Linked DNA regions of Elephas maximus indicus. The protein of the gene in region 2 purifies or fractionates together with the protein of the main gene of each other region. This does not show direct contact. Links are inferred from orthologs where the notes say so. Each region holds a gene or a part of one and is shown on either strand. Other genes may lie near its edges. The genes, in order: TMEM30A and ATP11A.

What was found.
Region 1: the proteins of ATP11A (region 2) and TMEM30A purify together in Homo sapiens (co-immunoprecipitation; 4 studies listed by BioGRID and IntAct, with this or other methods). This does not show direct contact. The link is inferred for Elephas maximus indicus from reciprocal best matches to the Homo sapiens genes ATP11A and TMEM30A.

What each region holds. Positions count from the first base shown.
Region 1 is NC_064819.1:138,655,265-138,670,767, reverse strand, and holds the start of TMEM30A (cell cycle control protein 50A), read left to right. Parts: upstream 1-9,317; 5' UTR 9,318-9,415; coding exon 9,416-9,652; intron 9,653-15,503. UniProt on the Homo sapiens protein: Accessory component of a P4-ATPase flippase complex which catalyzes the hydrolysis of ATP coupled to the transport of aminophospholipids from the outer to the inner leaflet of various membranes and ensures the maintenance of asymmetric distribution of phospholipids.
Region 2 is NC_064841.1:78,993,876-79,008,650, reverse strand, and holds the start of ATP11A (phospholipid-transporting ATPase IH), read right to left. Parts: upstream 6,583-14,775; 5' UTR 6,453-6,582; coding exon 6,444-6,452; intron 5,560-6,443; coding exon 5,437-5,559; intron 1-5,436. UniProt on the Homo sapiens protein: Catalytic component of a P4-ATPase flippase complex which catalyzes the hydrolysis of ATP coupled to the transport of aminophospholipids, phosphatidylserines (PS) and phosphatidylethanolamines (PE), from the outer to the inner leaflet of the plasma membrane.

The DNA.
Region 1 (15,503 bases), on a different chromosome or scaffold from region 2:
TTTTGAAGGTATCTTCTGTAGACTTAAAAAAACATATTTCATAAATATTGGATTCCAATGAAGATAGTGGATAGAGTAAATATTCTGGAAGTAGATGCCTGGAATATCCAAAAACATGAAGAATTCATTATATCCTAGGACAACCATAAAAACAAAACAACTGGTTTATGGTGTGGAATATCTAGTTTGAGCGTTAACAGAGATACCAACACTATGGAAATAACTCACAGCTTCTCAGAGTCAGCGGCAGAGCAAGTGTAAGTGGTGTGTATCAGGCCATGAAGTACCTTTGTGTCCTTTCTCCTTATGCTGTGCTTGGATTCTCATGAAAATGCATAAAAACATGGCCAAACTACGACATGCTCATGAATTTGATGTGCAGCAAATCTAAAAATAACAACAGTGTAAAATGGAAATTTAAAAAAAGCACAAATGGCACCTGAGGCATATGTCCCCCTCTGGGCCCCCAGAGCCACGTCTCTGCTAAAAATAGTAAGTAGAAGGTAAAGACGAAAACAAAAATTGTAATAAATTTATAAAAATTGGGAGAGTTTGGTAGAAATAACTTTGTCTTAGTGACTATCAATATCTATTTTCTTAAATTTTCAGCATCTACTCTATAATTACAAGATGTGATGATAACAGTGTTACTTAGGGAAAATGCTGTAGATTCATAAATTTGAACAAAAATGTTATAGGTGCCGTGACATTTCTGGTGTTATTTTTGGATATATTATTTTGGGAGTTTTACCCTACCATTGGCAGATTTTTGCTCTTTTAATAGTACAAATGAGCATTTATTTAATCCAGATTTTGTTTTAAAAATACCAAGCATTAGCTTTATCAATATAAGAGGCTTACAGTATGATCATATATTCTTAGGATTTTTGTAGGCTTAGTGGACTTTAAAAAACAAAAGAGTGCATTCAGTAGTTTTGAAAGACATTCTATCTTCACAGCACTCTTAATTTTGTCTTGTTTGAGTTTTATTAATTACACGAAAAGTTTATTATTTTTCACTGAAGCCAAGTGAATTTACTAATATGTACTTGTCTTTTATATGTAATACCCTGCTTCCAGTTCTTTACAGATTATCGAAATTACTTAACAAACAAGACATTCTGTTTCTTCCCAAGTCAACCATGTTTATTAAAATCTCACCAGAGTGAGGAAAAAGGACAATTGTAATATAAAAGCATTGTGAAATATTCTTTTTTGAGTTGAAACACAATCTTCATAAAATTAAAATCATTTAAAATGAGTAGTCAACCTCTCATTTAAAATTGTTTGCTTTAAAATTAACATTTTCTATGAATATAGTCACTTTCATGGTGCATAAGCAGAAGCAGTACAGCAGCTTTGGAGGCCGGTGAAATTAGGTCTCCCTCAAAAAGCCAAGAATCAGGCAGCTTTAGAGTCTGCCAAAATGAGGGATGCCTTTTCTTCTGAGTTACATCATAGTTTATTTAGTAGGATGACAATGACAAGACACCACAAATGAAAACTGGTTAAAGGGTTTCACTCACCCCTTTTCCTTCACCAAACACATTGTCAATGGACATTCAGATATCACCCACACTGCTTCTGCTGTCAATCTACAGGTAGACTTCTTAGCAGAGCAAACATTACTACGTTTTTTCAGCAGTACACAGCCCAGCCTTTGCAGAGCCAATTGGGTAATGGTTCCAGCAAAGTTGGGTGGGGGTATGGGTGGGATTGTGCTCTGATGCCTTCTATTTATCAATTCTGTGGCAGAACTGGTAGGCTCGTAGCTACTTCCAGCCCTAACTTGGTTTTGCCTTATTTGGAACAAAGAAGTGGGTTTTTCCTATTTATTATTTAAAGATAGATCTATCAAAAAATTAGACAAGAAGGCTGTCAAAACCAAGATGTTTTCTGCAGGAGAGTTGCAGGTCAGTGAGCAACTGGGGATCTCAGACACTCCATGGGGTCTCTTACGACAGGCAGTGTACTGTATCTGCTTAAATGGGTTTTTCTCTTGACCACTGTTAGATTAAATGAATCACCTGAGCTGCTTAGTTTGAAAGCTATTGGTCCAATCCCCAGGGGACCGAGACCACGGTCATAAAAATTGCAAAGGAAGGAAATGTCTCCAGTTTTGTTTTCTTTTCATTTCCCATCCACTTGTGCTCCACCAACTAGCTGAGGTCTACTCTCTCAGGAAGAAGAGAGAGGAGAAAATGGATTCTTTGTACCTTCATCCCCTTGAGCTCAGGGATAGAGTCACCCTTAATGAGCAACACGCTCCTCCTCCCTTGGTTAGGGAAACAGAAGCAACTTTCCTGGGCCCTGTGCTTTTTGGCAGTAGGGCACATTGCACCATACATTTTTTTTTTTTTTGAGTGTCATTAAAATCCACTATTGAAATTTGTCTTTAATGATATCCCAAGGAACCTATGAAAGCTATCAACACTGAGGCCTCCCTTCAAATGGATTACCTTGGGCAATACTCACTGACTGAGTTGTCCCAGACATAGCAACCTGATCTGCAGCTATTGTGTTGGAACCCAGGTCCCTGGCCTGCAGTTCCCAGAGAATCAGTCCTCGTTTCTGCTCTCTTCCTCTCTCTCTCTTCAGGTTAACCAGTTGTTCCTTAATCTCCCTTGCATTATCACCAGTATTTCATACATAAAAAATCTTTAAGGAGAATTTTTTTTTTCCTCTTCAGGAGCACTTTCCTATTCCCTACACTTGCCCCATTCTGCTTCTGGCATTTGTGCATAACGGTGTCTCCCAGTTCGACCATAAGCTTCTTAAAGATATGACTTGTATATGCTTCACAGTGAATATAAGACACAGGATAAATGTTTGTAAAATGAAATATAATTCCTACTAGGGAGAGGCCTTTTCCACTCTTCCTTCAGCTGCCATTTCTCCTTTTCCCCAATCTTTACAGATGTTTTTCGTGATCACAACCACATTCTCTTTTTCAGCCTTTCCAGCTCTCAGTACACATTTCTTTCTCCTCCTTGAGAAAAAGCATATGCTTAGTCAAAGTGGTGGGCTATTTATAGGCACTCTTTGACTCCTAACCCCAGAGAGTTGCTCCTTCCAGGGTACTCTCTGCTAGATCTTCCTTACCAAATTATTCTGGCTGCTGCTGCTTCCCTTTCAGAATCCTCTGTATTAAATAAGGCTCTCAACAATCACTTATTCTAAGGGAAGGCATGCTCTCTCCAAAGACAAGGGGCCCTCCTATTATCAGGGTACCGGATGGTCTATGCTATGTTATTCATTTTCCCTTCATCATGAAGCCAAGTATTGGTTCCCACAAGGAGCATTGGTGCAACTAGGTCATATGACATCGACCTTTATAAGTTAACAAACTAAAACCCAGAAATGGAGGGTACCAGAAACCTGTTCCCAGGGCAACTGCAAATTGCTGAGATCTTGCTTGAGAGAAAGAACATGATCACATTCTTTGGATCATGTAGGATACACAGTCTTGCATGGCATTAATATAACTTGCAGCATAAGGCTCATTCTTTATTTTTGATCCTGTTCTCTGCTGGGTAGAGAAATACAATATCATTCAGACCCTAGGACCCATTTCCTCACAGTTTATAGAGCTTGACATCATAAAGAGGATGAGGTGTGGTACCTCCTCTGAGCACCTACCTTGTTCACACATCTTATATGGCACTGACCTCATTATATTTCAATTGTTTGTTGGCAAGTTGTCTCTCCCACTAAAATGTGAGTTCACTGAGAGTAGGTCAGGTCAACAAAATTGAGTATCTTTTATGTTCTAGGCACTTTGCAGGTGTTGGAGAAATAGAAGTGAATAAAAACTGTTCTGACCTTGAGGAGCTTATATCTAATAGGAAAGACAGACGTAAACAGGTATTTTTCAATACTATATGGTAAGTGCAAGGATAGAAGCATATATAAGTTGCCTTGAGCTCAGAGAGCAGCTCTCAGCTCAGCCTGAGGGGACAGAGAAAGTTTCTTCAGTTTGGCTGCTGACCTGAATCTTGAAGGATGAGTGGGAATTAGCAAGGCAGTTTCAGTGGAAGTGGGGTCTGAAGTCAGGGAACAGAGGGTTGCTAAGTGATTGGGTTGAGGAAGTGTAGTTAGCCCAGATTATTCTTTCCAGAAGATTCACTGACAATAAAAACGATGTTGTGGAAGTTTGTTGAACCCCGACCATGTACCTCAAAGTGTGCTGGTCAGAGGGAGGTCATGAGAGGTCTTGGTCTTTGTTGTCACGACTGGTTAGTTCCAGTAACTAAAAAGCATGTTTCACTTCTGAGAATCAACAAAAGTTGACTTCACAATTAAGTCTATTTTGTGAGGGCCATCCTTCAAAAATACGCTGGAGTTATTTTAAGAAAATAGATAAAATCATAGGTAGTAGTGACCCAACTGTTTCAAAAAACAAATAAAATCCCTCCCCTGGGACTCCCAATAATTTAACACTTGGAAAAATAGAAAAATGTAAGTTTAAAGTAAGTATAAAAATAGTCCAAACATACATTCTGTAGAGGATTTACATTTCTTAGACCTACCTTCCAGTATCTCTTGATGATTGTCATAGAATAAGCAAGTATTCTCCTTCACCCTCATGCATTTTAAAAATAATTAATTTCACTATAGTATCTGTAACAGATGTCAGTTGTCTGTCAACCTAAAGATGGCTACATCATATTTGAAGGGAAGACATTATCTATAATTGATGGTACCTACTGGAAACCCTGGCGGTGTAGTGGTTAAGTGCTTCAGCTGCTAACCAAAAGGTTGGCAGTATGAATACACTAGGTGCTCCTTGGAAACCCTATGGGGCGGTTCTACTCTGTCCTATAGGGTTGCTATGAGTGGGAACCTACTTGATGGCAACAGGTTTGGTTTGGTGTTTTAATTGGAAAAATACATGCCACAGGGATGTAATCAACTGAAACATTCTATGGAATGAAAATCTGGTAGTCTGAGGTCTCATTAGAATTATATTCTTTCATTTAACAAAAGTGTAGAATTATGAGAAATGGAACTCTTTTTTCCTCTCAAAACAAAACTCTTAGGTAGTCTTCTATGGAATTTTGGTGTCATTGCTCTTACCTCTAGTGAGACTAACCATTAAAATATCCAGTTTGATTTGTATTTCTGAAACTGACTATGGTTATTCAAAGACTTGCAAAATCTCTCATCACATCACTAATAACTGTAGACTGATCAAACAATCTCTCAGTGTGAGAACAAAAGGATTTTCTTAAACGCCTAGCCAGAAGAGTTCAATAAATATACTACATAAAAATCAGGAAAAGGTCAATTTTAATAGAAGCAATTTTTTAAAATCCGTTTGAATCAATCTCTGATGCAATAAATGCAAAAAATTAATTTTATTATGAAATTCTGTTATCACTCTCCTAAGAATCCTGAGATAATTAAAAACAAATAGCATTTAGTCCCACCAAAGTTCTCCAAGGTAATCTGATTAATTGACTAGAGAAAAAAATTTTTTTTGCTGCAAAAATACACAAGTAAAAATACTATCTAATGACTGAAAGGAAACCCTGGTGGCATAGTGGTTAAGAGTCTGGCTGTTAAACAAAAGGTCAGCAGTTCAAATCCACCAGGTGCTCCTTGGAAACCCTGTGGGGCAGTTGTACTCTGTCCTGTAGCGTCACTATGAGTCGGAATCAACTTGACAGCAACGGGTTTGGTTTTTTTTTTGTAATGATTGAAAACTATTTCCAATCACAAAGAAGTTTCTCTTAAAACTATGGCACTCTTCTCAGCGGTCTTCAACTTCCTTAAGCATCATCATGCTACAGGTAAGAAGTGGTTTGAATATGATTAGAAACTATAAGGACTAAAGTATCACCAATATCACACAACCAACCATCACTGGAGCGTAAAATAGTAAAAAAAGCCAGTTTTAGTTTCCTTTTTTTAGTTCTCCAAGTCATTCAGTAGTTACTTTTCACGGCTTAAGATATCCTATAGTTTTTTCTTAAGGTTCCTGTTTACTTCATTCTGTGGCTTAAACACAGCAATTGAACTAAGAAATGAAAATCTCCAAAAGCTAAATACATATACCTTTTCAGATTGTTGGGTTTGCATCTGTTCTGTCATTTTGGATTTACTTTTATATTGGGGCTCATGCATTCTTTGCACACTTACTGTGGTGACCTGGTAGTGAGAATTAATAAATGCTATTTAGATATAAATTCCACATTTACCAGGAATCAGCAAACCAACAATCATTTAAATAACAGAAATAGAATCTAAATGTATCATTAACACACATACACATGCACATACACACACATCAGTCACTCCTAGCAACCACAGTTTGAAAATGCATATACTGGTAATACATTGTGAGAACGACCATTCTCTTTTCTTGCCCCAGACAACACTTTTTTAAACCCCTACTTCAACTGTAAATGAAAAACTACCTAGTAAGGACTATCATAAAATAATGTGTGACCAAGGGAATCACAAAAATCTGAGTCCCCTGAGATAATGATGTAGAAGTGAAAGAACACGTTAGCTGGGTAAAAAAGCATATTGTGGTGGCAGGGTAGAGTACTGGGAAAGGAACTGGAGGGATATCAAGAGATCTGGGAAAGTAATTTCATCCCTTTGGCCCTCACCTGAAAATGAAAATTTCAGACAAAAGTCTAAGGAAGCTTTCAGTTCTACAAGGCCATGTTTCAGTCAAAATGGAGTTTCTAATAAGAAAGAAAAAGACAAGGAGTTACCTAATCTTTCTTATGAACATACAAAACTAAAGAAAAAGGAAAGCAGATCAATACACCATTATCACTCAAGACAAATACAAAAAGATTGATGAAAAGACCATTTATATGGAATGCTGGAATAGCAAATTGCTTAAGAACTATCACATTTATTGAGTATGATGATACAGGCAGATATGGGGAGAAAAACTTGCCTTATGCTATATAATTTCACATTATGCCCAATATTATTATATGTATTTTTACTAATCAACAGACCTCAGCGAAATAAAAGGACTCCATGCCCTCCCCATCAACTGTGCTGGGTTGTTTTTCATTTGAGCCTGAGGTTGAAGGATCAAATGAAATATAGACCTAAGTATGCTACAGATGGAAACCCTGGTGGTGTAGTGGTTAAGCGCTATGGCTCCTAACCAAAAGGTCAGCAGTTTGAATCCACCAGGTGCTCCTTGGAAACTCTATGCCTTGTATGCATGCGAAAGCTGGACAATGAATAAGAAAGACCAAAGAAGAATTGATGTATCTGAATTACGATGTTGGCAAAGAATAATGGAGATACCATGGACTGCCAGGAGAACAAATAAATCTGTCTTGGAAGACGTACAGCCAGAATGCTCCTTAGAAGCGAGATGGCAAAACTTCATCTCACTTACTTTGGACATGTTATCAGAAGGGACTAATCCCTAGAGAAAGACATACTTGGCAGAGAGGGTTAGTGAAAAAGAGAAAGACCCTCAACAAGATGGTCTGACACAGTGGCTGCAATAATGGGGTCAAGCAGAGCAACAATTGTGAGGACGGTGCAGGAGAGAACAATCTCTCTTCTGGTTATACATGGAGTCGCTGTTAAGTCATGTGAGATCAAGATCAAGCAAGTCAGTAGAGAGCACTAAGCCTTTAAAAAAAAAAAAAAAAGCCTTACATGCCTCCAAAACCTGCCAAATAGATATTTGATTGGCTCACATCTTATGACATGTGGTCATTCAGAAAAAAATTTAAATGCAAACTATGAAGATCAAACACCCTTTAGTTTCCCTTTCCTTTAATTTCCTTTCGAAAGTCTTACCTGTACCTTATTTAAGAAAAAGAAAGTTTGAGCATTTGTTTTCAGATAACGCAATTTCATCTCTGGTCTGATTTCGAAGAAGTCAGTGTAATGTAGATTGTATATACATTAAAAAATTACAAATAATATATGTTTATTACCGAAATTTTGGAAAATACAGAGAAGTGCAAAGATGCAGAGAAACAGAGAAACATTGCCCATCCTGTCAACAGAAGTTACCACTATCTACTTTTTAGTTGGGCTCTATATGTCTATACTACTGTGGTATCCTGATTTATTCACTTTTTATATCCTGAGAATTTCCTTGGGTCATTAAGTACTTGGCAGTTTTAAGGTGTCTGCACAGTATTTCTTTTTATTTCAATGCTACAATTTATTGCAATGTTATACGTTCTGTTGTGCATAGGGTCGCTGTGAGCATGAGACAGCACCTAACAACATACTTTCTTGAGATTTTTTGCTTATTAGGAGTCTAAAAAGAGTTACAGCTTATTAAAAAAGACTCCTTAAATCAATGTGCAAAAGAGAAATGCGGACAGAGTAAGGAAAAAAAGGAAACCCTTGACCAAAAAAACCAAACCCACTGCCTGAGTTCGAGTCCGACTCATAGCGATCCTATGGGACAGAGTAGAACTTCCCAATAGTTTCGAAGGAGCGCCTGGCGGATTCGAACTGCCAACCTCTTGGTTAGCAGCCGTAGTACTTAACCACTACGCCACCAGGAAACCCTCTAAGAGGACCATTAATGGTAGAAAAATAGGTGAAGATAGCTCAATTAGAGGCAAGATAATAAGGTTAACCAAGTCACATTTATTTATTCTTGACTTTAGGACAAAAGGACAACACCTCACGGAACTCGGTCTTCACATTCGCACCGTGAGTGGCGGTTTACTTAGAGGTGACAGTTTTAAAACCTAAAAAAATACTGCTAATCCCACCAGGCTCAAGCTCCCTTGCTGTGATCTTTTTAAATGATCTAACTTCCTTCAGAGAGGGCATCGAGGTAAAAGCAAAAACCTGGCTGGTGCTGAACCCACCAGAAAGACCTCTTTGTTGGCAGTTTCAGGGCCGACGGAGGTGGCTCAGACCGAGCACACGGCTGGCGAACTAGAACGGCTGTCCGTCACCATGATAACCAGAGCCGCTGCCAGGTGTGTACGAACAAAGGCGTCCGGAAGTGAAGCGAAAACACTTCTATGGCGCAAGCGCCCAAGCGTCTTCGCCCTCAGGGCCGCGCATGCGCTAACGTAGCTTCGCGCTCTGTGGGCTGAGGCCCTCACTTTGTCGTCACAGGGCAGATGATCAAGGTGCGTCCGCGTTTTCCCTCCCCCTTCTATCCTCTTCCCCTATCCCCTCCCCTTGTCCCTCAGTCTTCTCCCTCCTTCCTCTCTCTTACCCTGGCGTCCCCAACCGACTCCCGCTTCCGGTCAGCAACAGCCTGCGGAAGGGTGTCCCGCCTCTTCCGCCTCGACAGCGGAGGTGGTGGCAGTGGTGGCGGCGGCAGCGGCGGGGGCAGCGGCGGCGGCGGCGGCTGCGGCGGCGGCGCCTGCGCGTCTTTTGTCAGGGTCAGCAGGCGGGTCCCCTGGGCGATCCCCCTGCGCGTCGCTGAGGCGCGCCTCGCGGGTCGATGGCGATGAACTATAACGCGAAGGATGAAGTGGACGGTGGGCCCCCGGGTGCTCCCGGGGGCGCCGCGAAGAACCGGAGACCGGATAATACGGCCTTCAAACAACAACGGCTGCCCGCCTGGCAACCCATCCTCACGGCGGGCACGGTGCTACCTACCTTCTTCATCATCGGCCTCATCTTCATCCCCATTGGCATCGGCATCTTCGTCACCTCCAACAACATCCGCGAGATCGAGGTGAGGGGAGTGAGCGGCGGCGGGAGTTGGCGCTGCCTGGGGGCCGGCTGCTTGCCGCCTGCCTTACTCTTTCCTCGGCTTTCTAGAGGTGGACAGGCGGGGCCCGCCCTTCCCCACACTTTACCTCTCTTCCTCTATTTTTTCTTTCTCTTTCGGCGAGTTTTCTGAATTTGCAGTTTTTTTCTAGTTTCCTCCTGCTCACGATTTACAGTTAGAGGGTAGGTCAGGTGAAGAAAGCGCCTTCAATGAGCAGTTTGTGTGGTTCTGGGGCGGGGGGGGGGGTGTTGTCCAACGGAGGTAGAAAAGAAAAGTTATATCTAGATGTAAATCCAAGGGAATTGGCATGGTCAGGGTGGGAATTTTTCCAGGAAACGGAGAGGAACATTTTGGCCATTGTGGGGAAAAGGACCCAGAGGCATAGAGGTGTTGATGATTTCTGTGTAACGAAGTTGTCATGTTAACCAGGTCGTGGATTAGGACATACGACTGAAGAATGCACGGCATTTTTTTATTTTGAGCTAATTCGAATGTTTTTAGTTGTAGATAATAAGTAATCTGAAACTTCAATTCTGGTTTTCTTTTTAGACAGCGTTTATTATCATGCTCCACGTTAGTCCTAATTTTCCCTCCTAGATTTTAAACTTTTCAAAAAGCGCCAATGAGCACACTCGGGGGTTAAGTTGTACACTACCGAACATTTTACTGGTATAATGTAATAATTGTGGTCGGCAGTTCGAGTCCATCAGGCGCTCCTTGGAAGCCCAGTGGGGCAGTTCTACTCTGTTCTTACACGGTCGCTGTGAGTCGGAACCGACTCGACGGCAATTTTTTTTTTTAATGTAATTTATGGCTTAACAGAGAGCCTTGTATTGGGGAAACATCTTGATTTCTGTAGGGTAACAGTAACAGTATTTTCACCTGCAGTGGTAAAGGTGGGTTAGCACTAGAATGTAAATACTTTGTATAAACCAAGCCAAACCCCTTATATGGAGTCAATTCCGATTTACAGTGACGTTATATGTGTCCAATATTAAACATCTCATCCTCTTTTTTTGCATGTTTGAGAGTATTTTTTATCTATTTGAAAGGGCAGGGACTGGTACCAAAGTTTCTGAATTCCCTCTTTCTGTTCTATCAGATTTTGTCATTTTTTTTCAGGTTTTATTAAACACTTTAAAATTAACGTATGTGACTTAATGGGGCTTTCAGAGGAATTTTGTTTTCAACTATTGCAGTAGGAATAAAGGTGCTTATTTTCTAGTTTGATTTACAGTGTTAGCACTAAAAGCGAGATCAGTATTTTTTTAATTGTACAGTGCTTCTATGCTAATAACAGTAAGAGGAATAGTATCTATAGCATAACTTAGTTTTTAAATATTTTACTAAAAATTCATTTTTAGTTTAGTAACTAAAGAAAGTCACTATATATATATTTTTGATGTATTTTCATTATCTCCCTAACAGTTCTGCAAATGTAGTACTTTTTATTTTCCTAAGGACAAGGATCACACATTATTTCAAGACATGGGCAAAGGGGTGGAACATAAGGACCATGGGGTTTATTCTGGAGTCAGGCAGAGTTTGATTTTAATTCCTGGCTCAGCCACTAACAAGCTTAGAGCTTCGTTTGGTTGGAAAATTTACTTAATCTCTCTGAAGTCTCAGTTTCCTCATTTGCGAAATAGGTAAAAATTATGCCATCTTGCAAGATACGAAAATTAGAAACGCTGTAGGTAAGATGCCTGAGACTGTTTGTACAGTAGTTACTGTTATTACGATGATCCTTAATCCAATGAGAAGTGGAGCCAGAGGTTGAGATTTGCTGATAAGCCAGTTAAGAGTATTATAAAATTGAGGCATAAACCCATATGCTTTATTTCTAGACTTAAAAGTTTCTCACTACGCTAAGCTGCTTACTACAATGCTAGTAATTAAGTAGGAGAAAAGAATTTCTTAACATGAGAATTTGAATCATCTTATTTAAATTTCTTAAATATTAAGATGAAAGGAGCAATAACTTGGCATTTTATATGAATGGGTATTTACTAGGTTATCAGAACTCAAGTTCTATTAATATTTACTATACTATGAAAATAAATATTTTCTTTAAAACTTTCACATATTGAACTAAAATGTGATTCTTCCTACTAAGTAGTAGGTGAAATTGACATTTCTTAAATAGTTCTCATGTACAATTCTGATTTCAGGTTGCCTGAAGAGGATGTAGCAGCTTGAACACTTAAAACGGCACTCAAGTTAGAGTCAAGGCATTAGAGTTGAAGTCCGAACTCTGTCCCTGTCTAGTATGTGGTCTTAGGTGCATTTTTGGGGTCTCTGTTTCTTTACTTGAAGAGCGAAAAGATTCAGACTAGATGATTTCTCAAATGCTGTTCAGCTCTAAAATTTTGACTTCCAAGTTAAATGTAATTTTTTTAACTCTTCATTTTCAAATTTTATTGCTTTTGGAACCAGAGAACTGAAAATTAGGAATGACTGGGAATTTTACACCAACACTGACATTGAGTTGTGCAAATAGAATCCTTTTTTTTTTTTTTTGAGTGTTAAGTATGTATAGAAAAAAAAAATGTATAGAGTGATTCTAAATTGGATTTGGGGTTATAAGAAGAACCTGGGGAGCTTTTCCAAAACACGCATGTTTCCTCCAGGTCTCTATCCTTTAACCACTAGTTTAGATTAAAATATGTTGAGGGTTATTAAAAGTAGTCGAGTATTGAGAAATTCTTGCCAACATTCACTTCCAGCCTATAAGTTACTCACACCTTTTTAGTTTATTTCTTCATTTTTCAAAATTTTAAGAAACTTCTTTGCTGTATTTATATCAGGTTACTAGGGCAAAGGAGACTTGTCCAATCAAAATGCTTTTGTAACGTATCTTAAAGTTCTAAGATCAGAAATCAAAACTTTTGGTACAAAAATCAGTTGGTTCTTCACCTAACTCCCAGAAGTATTAATACTAAAAAAATTACTACTCTTATAAAGTGCCTTGCATTCCCCCAAAAAAGGTGTAGAAAAAGAGATTTTTTATTTTAATACTTATACTTGGCCATATGCTTCCCTTCCTTGTTAGGTTTATATATGTTTTTTAGTTGGTTTTAGACTTTTTCTGTAACCTAAATAAAATTTGCTTATTAGAAAACTACCATTGTTAATTGTATCATTTATAAGAAAATATTTTAAATATTATCTTCATTTATGATTAGGAGTAAAGAGTGAGTATTTCCTTTAATTTGGCAATTGTAGGTGTCAGGTATATCTTTCTGCTGCAGTGGTGATGTTTTTGTGGTCTAGGGCCATTGTTGGTGAGGCTGAGATATTAATTGATTGAAACTCACTTGAAAAATGTAGGGAGCAAGGTTATTAACTTTTGCAAAGACATTTATCAGTGTGAAGTTATATACATTTAAATTATGATTAGAATAGGATGAGAACATAATCCAGAGTAATATTCAGTTAATTTAAAAACATTTACTTCAAATTAATATTGCCAAAAGTGTTCAAGATGTGCTTTTATGAAACCTAGTAGATTAGCCCTCCACCCCATTTGATTAAGAAGTCGCCGTTCTCTTCTTCATCTTATATCATGTACCTTCCTCAGTTATTTCTTCCTGATTTCTTATATACACTGTTAATTATTTTTATTCCTATATAACTTGGATTCTGTATGCCTCAGGGAGTAAAAATGCTTTGCAGTTGACTTGATGATAAAAACCCAAACCCAGACTTGATGATAGGAACACTAACTTTGAACCCCAGTTATGTGACATTACACCCTGAAATGAAAATTCTTTTATTCTTATTAGTATACTTATATTACAAAATATTTTACTTACTATATTTTGAATTTCATCAATAAAAATTTGTGCAAATTAGTCTCTCTTGTTATATAAGAACCAACATACTTTCAGTCTTGCCCTTTCATCCACAAAGCTGAAAGTATTTACTCTCTGGCACTTTACAGAAAAAAAATTGCCTACCCTTGACTTAGATTTTTAAAGATACATACTGGCAAACTTGGCATTTGTTAGAAAAATAGCTGTGTTTAACTTAAGCTCTAATCATCAGTAACATTCAAGGTAGGTGTAACAATCCCTGGTAGTGGTGTGTGCGCCACCACCATCACCGTATGAGTTTAGTCAGTATAAAATACTTTAGCTAAATTTACCCTTAGTGTCAGCTAAGGTAAGGTTAAGTCGTATAAAATTCAAGCAGACTAAAGAAAGTTGCTATTAAAATTTTTACTTTAGTTAATCTTTTGTCTTCTTTGGAGTCTGTAAAAGGGACTCCTGATAAGTTCTTTAGTGTGAAATAATCAGTTCAAGGGGGTACTTCAAATACCATTTTTAATTTAATCTGATTAATACTTAAAATGATTTACCTTATTACTCAGCATTTTGTTGAGTGACCTCTTTAAATCTTATATTGATTTCCTTTAAGACAGATAGATATACATTCAAAAATGGAAGTTTTCCAGTGTTTCTTTCTATGCAGTGTAAAAAACTGCATGTCCTTCAAATTCCTCCTTTCCCACGGCGTTAAATTCAGAGTCTGTTTCTTAGGAATAGGGTATATTTTTAGAATTGCTAAGGATAAATGCCAGTTTGGTTTAGGGAAACAATTACAGTGGTAGCAAAACAAAGCTGAGAAATATGATCACTCTTAAACTCATCTACTGATCCACATCTGCTATTCTATTTTGCCTCTGGTTCTTTGTCTTTTGGATTTAAGCTAATGGGCAGGTCTCCAACTGTCATTGTATTCTGCATTGTGCCTTACATGCTTTTGACATTTAGTAAACATTAAATTTTAAAGGTAAGGGAACTGTAGCTTCTCTTCCACCTGGTAGCCTCTTTTTAAGATAAATTATGTTAACTTTAGAATAAACTTTGCTTTTTGAAATCTGATAGATTTCTGCACCCAACAGATTTTATTACAATCTGGACATTAAGTCAGGCTAACCTTGAATTTTAGCTGATGAAGAACATAGTTGTTATTTGTGGGTAAAACTCATAAACTGAGTTAAATTTATCAAGAGTTTTAATCAATATTGGGCATTTTCTATTTACAAGGTGATGTTCTGGGCATAGTGGGGGATAGGAAAAAGTTCGAGGACCGGGCCCTTGTTTATTCTCTCTTGTGCTCTCTTTTATCTGTCTTTCTTTTTTAACAGAGAGCCCCTGTTCCTAAGGGACCTGAAATTGGGTGGGGGGAGCAGGGGAAGATGGGACGTACATATAGGAGGAAAACTGAGCATTGCTAGATGATTGACACAGACAATATATCTTGGTAGTTCAAAGGAAGACAAGATCACATATGTCTCTAATGGCCATGGAAAGCTTTGTGGAGCAAGTGAGTTTTGAGTAGTGTTACCCGATTAGGGTCCATGCCCTGGAACCGTCTAGCCAATGGAACATACTCCAGTTCAGAAAGAGTGAGAAAGTTTACTAAGGACATGTATACATCACCGGGGACCTGATAGCAACACAGGCTGTCTCTGTGGAGTCCCAAAGAGCAATTTTACATTACATCTTATATGGAATATTACAAGGGTTAGAAGTGTAGTCTGCAGATGGCCTGGCAGGAGGAGTTATTCATTACAAGATAGTGATGGAAGACTCTTTATCAGACTAAAGAGATACATACTGGACATCTCTTTATCAGGCTAAAGATATACATATCAGATACTTGGGCTCTGATTTACCTGTGGGGGGTTGTAAGTCACAGGTGGTGGGAGGGAACAAAACAAAGTTATTTCCATCAGATTAAAACAAAGAACAGAGTCATTAGCATTAGGTCAAAACAAAAATCATCAACAGAGGTATGTAAAGGAGGA
Region 2 (14,775 bases):
GTTCTCTGTTGTGCTCCCTGTCAGGGCAGTCATCGGTTGTGGCCAGGCACCATCTAGTTCTTCTGGTCTCAGGATGATGTAAGACTCTGGTTCATGTGGCCCTTTCTGTCTCTTGGGCTCATAGTTATCGTGTGACCTTGGTGTTCTTCATTCTCCTTTGATCCAGGTGGGTTGAGACCAACTGATGCATCTTAGATGGCTGCTTGTTAGCATTTAAGACCCCAGACACCACATTTCAAAGTGGGATAGAGAATGTTTTCACAATAGTATTATTTTGCCAATTGACTTAGAAGTCCCCTTAAGCCATAGTCCCCAAACCCCCGCCTTGCTCCGCTGACCTTTGAAGCATTCAATTTATCCCAGAAACTTCTTTGCTTTTGGTCCAGTCCAGTTGAGCTGACTTTCCGTGTATTGAGTATTGTCCTTCCCTTCACCTAAAGTAGTTCTTATCTACTAACTAATCAGTAAATAACCCTCTCCCACCCTCCCTCCCTCGCAACCACAAAAGTATGTGTTCTTCTCAGTTTATACTATTTCTCAAGATCTTATAATAGTGGTCTTATACAATATTTGTCCTTTTGCCTCTAATTTCACTCAGCATAATGCCTTCCAGGTTCCTCCATGTTATGAAATGTTTCACAGATTCGTCACTGTTCTTTATTGATGCGTAGTATTCCATTGTGTGAATATACCACAATTTATTTAACCATCATCCGTTGATGGACACCTTGGTTGCTTCCAGCTTTTTGCTATTGTAAACAGAGCTGCAATAAACATGGGAGTACATATATCTGTTCGTGTGAAGGCTCTTATTTCTCTAGGGTATATTCCGAGGAGTGGGATTTCTGGGTTGCATGGTAGTTCTATTTCTAATTTTTTAAGAAAACGCCAGATAGATTTCCAAAGTGGTTGTACCATTTTACATTTCCACCAGCAGTGTATAAGAGTTCCAATCTCTCTGCAGCCTCTCCAACATTTATTATTTTGTGTTTTTTGGATTAATGCCAGCCTTGCTGGAGTGAGATGGAATCTCATCGTAGTTTTAATTTGCATTTCTCTAATGGCTAATGATGGAGAGCATTTTCTCATGTATCTGTTAGCTGCCTGAATATCTTCTTTAGTGAAGTGCGTGTTCATATCCTTTGCCCACTTCTTGATTGGGTTGTTTGTCTTTTTGTGGTTGAGTTTTAACAGAATCATATAGATTTTCAAGATCAGGCGCTGGTCAGAGATGTCATAGATGAAAATTCTTTCCCAGTCTGTAGGTGGTCTTTTTACTCTTTTGGAGAAGTCTTTAGATGAGCATAGGTGTTTGATTTTTAGGAGCTCCCAGTTATCTGGTTTCTCTTTGTCATTTTCGGTAATATTTTCTATTCTGTTTATGCCTTGTATTAGGGCTCCTAACGTTGTCCCTATTTTTTCTTCCATGATCTTTATCGTTTTAGTCTTTATGTTCAGGTCTTTGATCCACTTGGATTAGTTTTTGTGCATGGTGTGAGGTATGGGTCCTGTTTCATTTTTTTGCAAATGGATATCCAGTTATGCCAGCACCATTTGTTAAAAGGACTATCTTTTCCCCAATTAACTGACACTGGGCCTTTGTCAAGTATCAGCTGCTCATATGTGAATGGATTTATATCTGGGTTCTCAATTCTGTTCCACAGGTCTATGTGCCTGTTGTTGTACCAGTACCAGGCTGTTTTGACTACTGTGGCTGTATAACAGGTTCTAAAATCAGGTAGAGTGAGGCCTCCCACTTTCTTCTTCTTTTTCAGTAATGCTTTACTTATCTGAGGCTTCTTTCCCTTCCATATGAAGTTGGTGATTTGTTTCTCCATCACATCAAAGAATGTCATTGGAATTTGGATCAGAAGTGCATTGTATGTATAGATGGCTTTTGGTAGAATAGACATTTTTACTATGTTAAGTTTTCCTATCGATGAGCAAGGTATGTTTTTCCACTTAAGTAGGTCCTTTTTAGTTTCTTGCAGTAGTACTTTGTAGTTTTCTTTGTATAGGTCTTTTACATCTTTGGTAAGATTTATTCCTAAGTATTTCATCTTCTTAGGGGCTACTGTGAATGGTATTGATTTGGTGATTTCCTCTTCGATGTTCTTTTTGTTGATGTAGAGGAATCCAAGTGATTTTTGTATGTTTATCTTATAACCTGAGACTCTGCCAAACTCTTCTATTAGTTTCAGCAGTTTTCTGGAGGATTCCTTAGGGTTTTCTGTGTATAAGATCATGTCATCTGGAATTAGAGATAATTTTACTTCCTCCTTGCCAATCCGGATGCCCTTTATTTCTTTGTCTAGCCTAATTGCTCTGGCTAGGACCTCTAGCACAATGTTGAATAAGAGCGGTGATAAATGGCATCCTTGTCTGGTTCCCGTTTTCAAGGGAAATGCTTTCAGGCTCTCCATTTAGAGTGATGTTGGCTGTTGGCTTTGTATACATGCCCTTTATTATGTTGAGGAATTTTCCTTCAATTTCTGTTTTGCTGAGAGTTTTTATCATAAATGGGTGTTGGACTTTGTCAAATGCCTTTTCTGCATCAATTGATAAGATCATGTGGTTTTTGTCTTTTGTTTTATTTATATGGTGGATTACATTAATGGTTTTTCTAATATTAAACCAGCCTTGCATACCTGGTATAAATCCCACTTGGTTGTGGTGGATTATTTTTTTGATATGTTGTTGAATTCTATTGGCTAGAATTTTGTTGAGGATTTCTGCATCTATGTTCATGAGGGATATAGGTCTGTAATTTTCTTTTTTTGTGATGTCTTTACCTGGTTTTGATATCAGGGATATGGTGAAGAAGCCTTTCTGAGCAGTCTTCTTTTAAAGGTAGAAATAGAATTTTCATTCTCAAGAAAACAAAGATACGGTGCCACAAGCACGTTCTGCAAAACTGGTGGTAAACTCAGTTGCATAAATTAAGTTCCATTTTTCATACATTCTAAGAATCCTCAATTATGTGCTCTAGATTTCCATTTCAGGTTATCAATGCCACTATCAACCCAGCTATCAGCTTAGATTCCAAGCCTTTAACCTTTCTCAGAGCCTTTTCCTTACTGGCTTTGATTAGCAACAGATTATGCGTATTTTTCTTTGAAACTACCTACCACAATCTAGTAGAAACTGAGACATTAAGCCACCAGTCTCAGCCTCTGTGAAGAATGAAGACCATGCGATGCACAAACACACCTGAGAGCACGGTTCCGTTTCTTCTTCTGAGGCTGAGATGGAAGGTGTTCAAGCACCTAATACCCCATCCTACATGTGGGCTCAGCAGTCAGGGACACCTGACTCTCTCCTAGAATTTATTCTCCTTAAAGCATGTTGACTTTAATTCTATTTGTTCCTATTCTAGAGCTTCCTGGTATGAAGGAGCTTAGTGAGAAGAAATATTTTCTAAAAGGTCTCTGATAACCAGCAATTCTGTAACAACACCCCCATCCTTCCACATCCCCCGGAATACGATTTCCCTTATTAGAAACCAGTGATGCTTCCAGCTGTCACAGTGCACGCAGGGACCCTGTGGTCAAGGAGCTGTCACAGTGCATGCAGGGACCTGTGGTCAAGGAGCTGTCACAGTACACGCAGGGACGCTGTGGTCAAGGAGCTGTCACAGTGCATACAGGGACGCTGTGGTCAAGGAGCTGTCACAGTGCATACAGGGACGCTGTGGTCAAGGAGCTGTCACAGTGCATACAGGGATGCTGTGGTCAAGGAGCTGCAACAGCAGGGACAGAAATATACTCTAGGCAAAGGAAAAGAATGATGCAGTTTTTATCGTGGTAAAAAGCAAGACCTGTCTTAAAATCACTGTTAGCAACTGTCTGCACAAATATTTGAAAAGGAAAATATGAAAATTATAAATTGGCTCTAAAAATTGACTCAGATAACAAAGGGGTCTGGAATGGAATATGAAATCAATGCTGTAGGTTATCCCCACCCAAACACCTTTACCAGGGGCTTTTATAATAAATAAAGCATCCTTAGCTTCCAGCCACATTCCACCAAGTAGATCAAGAAAGTGCCTGGGAAAGTGAAGCTTTTCCGTTGTCAAGTATTTTTAACAACATGGGGCACTCTGATCACTCAGAAAGGAACCAGGTGTACGTGTAGTTAGATCCACATATCTAATACAGCCAGGCATGTGCACACACGTTCACGCACACACTCACTGGCGCACCTGAAAGGAAAAGTTCTCTATAATCTGGAAAGCATGTCGCCTTGTGTTATGAATTGAACTGTTTCTTCCAAAAAGATATGTTGAAGTCCTAACCGCGGTACCTGTGAACACGACCTTGTTTGGAAATAGGGCCTTTGAAGATGTCATCATACTGGAACAGGGTGTGTCTTAATCCAATCTGAGTGATGTCCTCATAAAACAAGAGACCAGAGAGACAGAGAAAGGACGGCCCTATGAAGATGTATCTATATCCACGGAGCACTCGTGGCTACCAGGAGTGGGAGAGACAAGAAACTTTGACCCAGCCAACATGCTGATTTGGACTTCCAGCCTCCAGAACCGTGAGACAACAAATCTCTGTTCCTGTAAGTCACCTAGTTTGTGGGTTTTCTTATGGCAGCCTCAGGGAAATTCTGGCTCGTGGGAACCCCATATGTGTCAGAGTAGAACCATGCCCTCATAAGATTTTTAATGGCTGATGTTTTGGAAGTAGATTGCCGATGGGCCTCTGGATGGACTCAAACCTCCAACCTTTCTGTTAACACCCCAACACATTAACTGTAAGCATCCCTCAGGGACTCCAGGAAACTAATATACCCACCACTTACTTTTCTTGTTTGAAAGCCAAAAACTAACTCTAAATTCTATTCTTAAGGACTATTTTACTGGCTGTTCTCTAACTGTGTAAACATGTCCTCTACGGTTCCATTCTCCAGTCAGTGAAGAGTAACACGCTTCATTTAAGTGATGACGTTCAAGTCACATTTTTCCCACTTTAAACTTGCAGCACCTGATAAACTCTTACATTTACTGAGAGTTTTAGAGTTTACAAAGCAATTTTACACGTTATGTCAAAGGTGGCAGTACTGTATGTATTTTACAGATGAGGAAATTCTGGCTGAGAGCAGTTAATGACTTGCACATGGCCAAACAGCTAATAAGTGGCAGCAGTAGGAAGTCAATGTCCTGGACTTCAAACGTGGCCCTGGGTCCACAACGTACTTAACAGAGAATCAAAGGAAACGTGTTGTGATAGCTGGCAAGTCTTAAAAGGATAACAAATGCAAAAACCCTTTGTAAAGTTCTAATCAGAAGTCCCTAGCTAAGAGTAGAATAGCAGCTATGAGGGCAGTGCTAGGAGGAGTGTTGGTGTTTGCTGTCATAAATTGCTAATACTCTCCACAGTACTTTCTTCTAGGTAATGAACAAACACCCAGACCAGAAGACAAAGTCACCTTGGAAGAGACGATCCTGTTATCCGGGTATCGTTGCGGGATGTAGGCCTCGGTGCCTGGAGGCGGCTCCCTGTGCCCCACGTAGATGGTCCGACTGTCCACCCAGTTCTCTTCTCCAGCACACTGTGGAAAAAAGCAAAAGATGATCTCAGGCACCTCATAATTCCGGTGAAAAAGTTCTTACCTAAAACACTGGCTTTCATTTATGCTTGTTCATATTAACAGAAACTATATTGTCTGGCTTAGAGCATCATTCTGGGCTACAGAAGGAGAGCTAAATTCTTCAGATTTAGGGGCCAATTCTGACAATATGAACTCTTCAAATTAGTGGCCAAATATCTTCAAGTAGATCATTTGAGCAGGCTGTCTGTACTCCAGGAAGTGGTACATGGGTAACGTTCAAAAGCTGAGTGTCAGTGGAACTAAGACAGGGTGGGTTCACTGAGAAACAGAACACAAGCGCAAAATCTTACTGCTTCTCGAAGAGAAACGACAACGATGATTAGAAGTTTTTGAAAACAAGGGGTAAAACCATTAATTCAAAATCTAAGAATTATTTAACTCAAGGCTTTTCTGGATAGAAAAAAGGACTCAGGTCTGATTCATTTTTGTATTACTGAGAGTCTTGTGTACAAAAGACATTAAATACATATCTTCTGAATAGAAAAATCTTTTAAAAACACTCAACCAGACAGTGTGCTCCCAGCTCTGAGGTGACTAAACACTTTAGCTACAGAACTGAGACTAGAATGCAGGCTCAGAATAAAAGCCCTATTGTGTGGTCTTGGTACCACATTCCAGGTCTTCTGGGAGAACCGTCAGCTTTTCTGAGGTGTGATAAAACAGTGCTGAAAAGGAGACTGAAATACTCCTAGTTGAGAAGAAAGGCAATGTTATGTAACAGGAAAGACGAATTGGCACAGGAGCCAAAGAGACCTGGGTTCAGTCAACACTGAGCCAGTGACCAGCTGTGTAACCGCAGGCGAGGTGGTATTTCTGAACCTTACCGTTGTCATCTATGAGGCAGTGATGGTAGCCCTTCTCACTCACAAAGTTGCCAAGAGAATGGAGTCGGAAAACAGAAATGAAACATACAGCAAAGCACCAGCCCGAAAGATTTTTAACGAAGTACTAGGCGTCCTCCTTTCTTCCGTTACTACGGCCCATCCCTTTCGCTGCTTCGAGAAATCCCGACTATTCGAAGCCCAAGAGGCTGGGGCAACATAAGCAATCCAGCATTTCTATTTGCTCCATGTCGTGTTTACAAGTCTCCCATTGGTTTTGTGTGTGTGTGTGTGCGCGCGCGTGTGTGCACATGTGTGTGTGCGTGCACATGTGTGTGCATGTACTATTGTCATTGATCAACTTCCTGGGTAAAAACTCTCTTTGACATTTGTATCCCTCCACAGCACAGGATGCATAGCAGCTGCATAAAGGTTTGCGCGTTTACTTTAATAAATTCCACCTGTGTGTCTGTGCACTGTGTTTCCTTTTATTAGGGCCCAGCTTTGCCATAAGACTCTGTGTAAACTAAAGGAAAAAGACCAAATTAGTCTCTGTAACTCCAATCACGTTCCAGAAATGTGCGGCAGACACGAAATGGCGCTCGTTACAGGCAGATGAGGCTTCACGTTTCCTTGGGAACAGAAATAGACAAAGCAGCTACCTGGTCAGATGTGAGTGGCTCAGCACCATAAATGAGCCACGTGCATTTTCCTCTGCAAAAACGTGGGATGCAGCTTGTGCAGAGGAGCCTGGAGGTTCTAGAGTAATTATTGCCCCAGATGGCAGGGAGCAGATTCAAAACAAGCTGGACAGCACCGGTACGAGCCCTCCTGGTGATGCCGAAGGCCAGGCTGCCTCCTCTGCTGGACAGCACCGGTACGAGCCCTCCTGGTGATGCCGTAGGCCAGGCTGCCTCCTCTGCTGGTCAGCACTGGTACGAGCCCTCCTGGTGATGCCGTAGGCCAGGCTGCCTCCTCTGCTGGACAGCACTGGTACGAGCCCTCCTGGTGATGCCGTAGGCCAGGCTGCCTCCTCTGCTGGTCAGCACTGGTACGAGCCCTCCTGGTGATGCCGTAGGCCAGGCTGCCTCCTCTGCTGGTCAGCACTGGTACGAGCCCTCCTGGTGATGCTGAAGGCCAGGCTGCCTCATCTCTGGCAAAGCACAAAGCAAGCTCTGACTTCATCTGAAGTGACAATCTCGCTGACCAACAGCAGCCTTTCCTCTCTCCTCCCCGCCCGTCATGAGAACGTCAATAAAGAGCAATGACTTTAAAAACCTCTACATATGAAAGCTAATAGAAAAGGTCTTTGATTTTTTCTTTTCTTGGAACACAGCCAAGCTGATGCTTCTGATTCTTCAGAAAGTCATATTGAAAAAATATATATTTTACATGACCAGAAGAAGAAAGAAAAGTATAAAAATATGACTTTGAATACAAAAATGAAAATCCTGAAAACCTTGCTCCTAAGCTTCACAGACAGCAGCTGAATCTCAAGAGCCGCCACGCTGACTGTCTGAAAGCCGGAAAGCCTCCTGGGCGTCACACCTGGTGCTCACTCTGTGCACAGGGCCCCATGCTTCCCTGCCATTTCCCGTCGGAGGACAAACATGACCTCTGCTCTCTGGAGGCACAGGATGAACTTTACTGAGGCCAACTCATAGTCCTGACGCTGTCTAATAAAAAAAAAAAATAATAATAGATGTTTATTATTAAATAAGAACTGACACCTTTGAATTGTGGTGCTGGTAAAGAATATTGAATACACCAAAAGAACGAACAAACCTGTCTTGGAAGAAGTATGACCAGTATGCTCCCTAGAAGCAAAGACGGCGAGACTACACTTCGCATACTTTGACATGTTGCCAGGAGAGATCAGTACCTGGAGGACATCATGCTTGGTAAAGCAGAGGGTCAGCGAAAAAGAGGAAGACCCTTAAAAAGACGGACTGACACAGTGGCTGCAACGACGGGCTCAAACAGAGCAACAATCGTGAGAGTGGCACAGGACCTGGCAGTGTTTCATTCTGTTGTACATGGGTTTGCTATGAGTTAGAACCAACTCGACGGCACCTAACAACAACATTAAATAATTACACTAAACAACTCAAACACAAAAACTCAAAATTTACATGTCATTTTAAACAACTGCCACTTAACAGGAAGAACTAGTATTCCTGTCTGTGTGACAAGATCAGAAAATTAACTGCACACCAGCATGCCTTAGGGCTTCCTTAGACCATGAAAACAAAAAATTAATTTGAGAATGAATTATATGCATATTAAATGAAAGCTGAACTCTGTACAAGAAAGCCACCTTTGTATTGTTCGTTGAAGTATGAAAACAGAAGCCCACAACCCAGAATTCCTTAAGGCTCCCTGCTTTTATTAACAGAGTAAAACTCGATGGACTGAAACTCAGTGTCCCTGGAACATCAGTGAAGTCATTACCGCCCTTCTACTCTGGCTCCTTAGCTTAGCCTTACAGGACTCAAAGAAGATGAAGAAAAAGCAATAATTTCTGAGGTCAGAACATTTATTAAATGGGTGGGAAACATTTCTTTGGGTTCAGATTCAAAATCAAGGTGATTTAAAATCAATGTTATTCTCTTCACAACTGTTCAAATTCTAAGCAGACTATAGTTAAATGCTCAAAAGGTAGAAAATAGAACAAACCACATTCCGGGAGACTGCCTGGTGTAATTCTGACGTTTTTAGTTATGTCAATTTACAGAGTTATATGTTTTGTGCCACTGTGAGGGTTTGAACCGCCAACCTTTTGGTTAGCAGCCTCTGCTGGAGAAAGACCTGGTGATCTGCTCCCGTAAAGATTACAGCCTAGAAAACCCTATGGCACAGTTCCCCTCTGTCCTTTACGGTGGCTCTGAGTCAGAACTGACTTAGCAGCACACAACAACGAAGCGCTGTGTGGGGGAATCAGGAAACTTGGTTCGCTGCTGGTGTGCTGTGTGACTTTGGACAAGTCACTAAACATCTCTGCATCAGATCTCATCAGCAGTGAGATCAAAGGATTAGACGAGGTGAGCTTTGTCATCGTTCCAGCTCTCAGATTCTCATTCTTTGTACGCTAGCAATGAAAACAAATGTACTGGCCCCGATTATTTTTACGTAATTTATTAATGTAACCAGTCTTGAACCAAACGTCAGCCAAAGTGTTCACTCTCAAACTGGAACTTGGGCCAAAAAAAAGGCTTTACAGCATGAACTCTGTCTTGTTTTTCTGTCTTTTTTCTGGTCCCGCATCAGCGCTCTCAATGGTGCGAAACGGTGAAAGAGTGGAACTGCTGGAAAAATTCCAAGTCTGGAGCCGGAGGAGAAAGGCCGCTCTCTGAGGAAGGGCTAAGGTGAGACAGGGAATAGGAGGGGGAAGTGACAGAAAGGCCATGTGAAGAATAAAAAGATGTGGTTCACACTGCACAGACAGGCTAACAAACAGGTTTTCTCTCCCATCTCACCCCTTCTACAGTGAAATCATAACCAAACAGGACATCCACCACAGCCTACCTTCCCACTCATCTTTCTAGAAGGAGGTAGGAGTTTGGAGAAAGGATAACTGTAATCCCATAAACAGGAGCCACAAGAGACGTCACTGCAAATCATGTTGACATGGTTTGAACATCCTTCACGGACTCCTTCCCTTAATTCTTTTTTATTCTGAAGATATTTTTTGACATTTGGGATTGATCCTAAAAAATGCAAAACCTTTGTTCACATGCTTGGCAGTGCAGTCCTTCTGACAGGCAAGGAGAGCTCGCATTTGGTGGCTGAGGGGTAATCCCAGGCCACAGCTCCTCGAGGCCACTGCCAACAAACGGGTTGCCTGTGCAAGGTAACGCTCAAGTGGCAGAAGTTATAGATCCATCTTCAATGTGTGCTGTGGCACTTCATTAAATATTATTCCTACTTTTCCTGACCCTTGAGGCCAGGACTTGGGACTCCTCACCCTACAGATCATTTGACTGAGTTGGTATGACTTCCACATTTGACAGAGAATACTCCAACCAATAACCACCACCACGAAAGCCTGGCTAATAACATGAAAATGTCGTAAATCATCAATTAGCAAAATGCTTTAAGCAGAGTTCAGTGTCAACCAGCACACATGTGACAATACTAATCTAAGCAAGCCATGTGGCCTTGTCCACAACTGATTAAGTACTAATTAACAAAGGAGTCCCAGGAGTAAAGCAGTAATTCCAACAAGACAGCAAAGCTGACAGCACTGAAGAATTCCCAGTGCTTTTCCGTGCTTTATCCTGGTGGCTAAAATGAGGTATCCGGGACCTGTTCTGTGCTGTTAGCTGATTACCGCATCAGTGAGGAGACACAGGGAACTGGGAAAGAGGTTAGCTGGACAACAGGCACGACGCGTGACTTTACACAGACGGACCCATGTTTGTGGTTGCCGTTAGCTACCGTTGCCTCTGCCTTAGACTCATGGCCACCCCATGCACAACGGATCAAAATGAGGCCTGGTCCCGCACCATCCCCACGACTGGTTGAGGATACGATCGTTGTGATTCATAGTGTTCACACCGGCTAATTTTTGGAAGTAGGCTGCCAGGCCTTTCTTCCTAGTCTGTCTTAGTCTGGAAGCTCCACTGAAACCCGTTCAGCATCACAGTTAACAGGCAAACCACCAGCAACAGAGGCGTGGTGGCCGCACGGGAAGTGCCCCGGCTGGGAACTGAGCCCTGGTCTCCAGGCGGAAGGTGAGAATTCCACCACTGAACCACCAATGTTCTCTAAATATGCTCTTTAAGTATGTAAAGAACAGATTTCAAAATTAATCACTGCGGAAATAAACGACAACCACCCCAAAAAACCAAATAAAACAGATTCTTTTTCAGAGCTTGCAAGAAAGTCAGCCACGACTGCTGGTATGTAGCAGGCCAGGGAGTTGGAAAGCTTCAGAGAGAAGAAAGAGGAAGGCTCTGATTGGAGGCTGACGGCACGGGGAAGCTGGGGGCGGGCTCACTGCAGGTGTGGCCTCTTACATGATTGGTTTAGGGGGCATATTTGGCTTTTCCTGTTAATCGTGATTGGAGAAAGCTGGTAGTCCTGACCAAGTCCTGATCACTCTGGGCTTCTCAGGCTGCTTGCTGCAGGATGTGGGTCAGAGTTCTGTCGTCACGTATGGGCTGGCCACTGTTTGTAGGTATACTCAGTTTCTCAGCACTGATAATACTTAAAGTTCTCCACTCACTTTCACTCATACTTAAAGAGACAGACAGTGACTTTTTAAATGTTATGAAATAATTCAAACATACAGAAACGAAAGAAAGTAAAAAACTATTCAGATTTAACAAATGTTCACACTGTTGTCATGCTTGTAATAGATGAATTCTTTTTACAGAAATAAATTAAAAATTTAGATTTTCAAATAAACCCTTTGAAAGTATCTGCCTCCACAGGGCTTTCAGTGGCTGCCATCTTTCGGAAGTAGACTGCCAGGTCTTTCTTCCACGGTGCCTCTGGGTGGATTCAAAAGCCAACCCTGGTTAGTAGTCAGGTGCTTGGCCATTTGCACCACCCAGGGACATCCCTAGATATGTTTAAGAGGAGGCCATTCCTCGATACCGTTCTTTGGCCAAATGCAACCCTAAACTGTCAGGAATAGATTCTTCCTGTCCACCCAAACCTAACTCTAAGTTAATCAGTTAAAACCATACCCATTTGCATTATACACTTTACACACTGGAAAAGTGTTGTCTCTTCAACATTCAGAAGACTATTAGACCATGAGGGCATAGAGAAAAATGAGTGTTTCCATGGAAGACTGCACTGGGTACATAAAACACGCCTTTCCCATGTGACTGCCCTTGAGCTATTTTACAGCTCTTTAAGTTATTTAAAAAAAAACAACACAAACTCGTTGCCATCGAGTCGATTCCAACTCATAGCAACCCTAAAATTTTTTCTACTCTGTTCTGTAGGGTCGCTATGGGTTGAACCGCCCCAAAAAGTTCCCAAGGAGCGCCTGGCAGATCTGAACTGCCGACCTTTTGGTTAGCAGCTGTAGCACTTAACCAAGACGCCACCAGGGTTTCCCTTTAAGTTACAGGTGACTGATAAGGGCACAAAATAATTCTCACAGCCACATAATCGCCTCCCTGTGGAAACATGAGTTTTATGGTGATCTGCCCATTCATTTCCACATTTCTTCACTCCATGCACCTTTGTGCTCTTTCAGCTTTTCCCTTGAATCAGTTAGCATATCTGGTGGCGTCCTCATCATGAATAAAATAAAATCATTCAGGAGGTATTCATTTTTACATCTGCATGGAGTTGTTGTTTTGCCCTTCTCTGAAAATCACCTTTTAACAGAGGGGGAGGGACCCGACAGGAGATGAAGGCTGCTCACAGTCCCAGGATGTGAATGGTCAGATGCAGTTTGCCCGAGGTGCCCGCAGAATTGCCAGAACAGCCCTTACAAGCAGGACTAAGAATGTTCTGGAATATATAAAAAACAAAACCACCCCAAGAGCTGATTCATCACCTGCTATGTCAAAGAAATTATAAGAAATAAGCAAAATAAAACCAAAAGATACCATTTGGCATCTTTCTAACAAATCTTGATGGCTTCCTTTTCTCACTCCCCCTGGTACCCAAGGTGGTTGATAAGAGCTCTGAGCCTGGTTTATCCTGAGTTCACACTGAGACAGTGGGGTAAGTCCCCGGGACTGCTAATCTAGCAGCTGTCTGAGAGGCACACTAGCCTCGGGTGTTCTAAACTCTGAGCTAATTCTGAGCTCACCTTATTTGGCCTCACTTCTTCACAAAGGGCAGTGGAAAAACAACGATAAGAACAGTTCTGCTAAAAATAATTAATTTAAAACAACAAAACAAAAACCCAGCTCTGCTTCTGAAAAGCCAAACGCCCCGGGACTACAGGTACTCCAAGTCAGGAGTCCACTTCCGACTCCAAGTGTCTCAGCTGCTGCCCGTCTGTTGGCGTCCTCCCCCGGGGCTGCTGGTGCGACACGCAGGGTAACTGGAGAGCCCGCACTTGTGGTGAGCAGACACTTCTTTCTAGCAACCCTCCCTGGTGGTACTTTGATAAAGTGTTTCAAAACACCATGAACAATGCTAAATGCAGGGTTATAATACATGTAAAAGGCTCCACTGAGTGAGACTGGACACCAAAAGGCAATTTCTCATCTCTCTTTTTCTGTCATTGGAAAGTACAGGTATCACCACCAGCTTCCTCTATCAGCTTCAAACCTCAATCCCAGTCAGAACTGAAGTTTCACACCTTTAAACAGCTACGGTTACTCAAAACCAGAGCTAGATGAATAGAAGGCCAACACGATCTCTCTCCAGCTGGATTTCCCAACAGAACACCAAGAAATGGGATGAGTGTCTTTAAACATAACTTCCTCCACCCCACAACACACCCCTTATTCTAGAAAAAGAATCATGAATAGCAAATAACTATAATAGAATGAGGACCCTAATATAATCGCATTTCACACGTGTTCATCCTGTAAATGAAAATGTAGGGACATCACTGAATCCCAGAGCTGGAAGGAATTCTCCAGTATTCAAGGTGCCAACCTAATATTTCAGACCAGGAACCTGAGAGCATAACTGGTCAACTGTCCAAAGTCTGACCATTTCTGACAAGGAATGACCTTTGTGCCACCCCACAAGGCCTTTCTGTACCACCTAAACCAAAGCCAATTGCCATTCAGTAAACTTCTGACTCATGGGATCCCATGGATTTCAGAGGAGAACTGAGCTCCATTGGATTTTCAAGGCTGTGGCCTTTCGGAAGCAGATCGCCTTTCTTCTGAAGCACCTCTGGGTAAGTTTGGACATTAACCTTTCAGTTGCTTGTAGAGCATTTAGCCATCTGTACACCCAGGGACTGTACCACCTAGAAAGGGAATTAACACCTTTGAGTTCAACGATATGGTGATTTTACGTGTGTGCATACACATACGTGTATATATTTAAATACTGCCACTATGATTCCTTCTGTCACCTCTGAGGGCAGATCATGGGTATGCATCCTTCAAAATCTTTTTGAATGAGTTGTGCCATAACTTAGCACAGATAATGTAATATTTAATAATAATGAGCTATTCCATATCTCCATCTTCATAGCAGCCCTTCTACCAGCCACGTTTAAAAAATGAAAACTCAAAAGAAGTTAAGTGACTTGCCCAAGGTTGCTAAGCATGCAAGTCAAGGACCTGGCCTTGAAGAATTTATAAACGAATAAACTGATTCACAGAAAAAGTCAAGTCTCTAAGGCTCTCGGACTTTAATTTCTGAGCAGGCACGAAGACCTGAACACCTGGCTACTCCA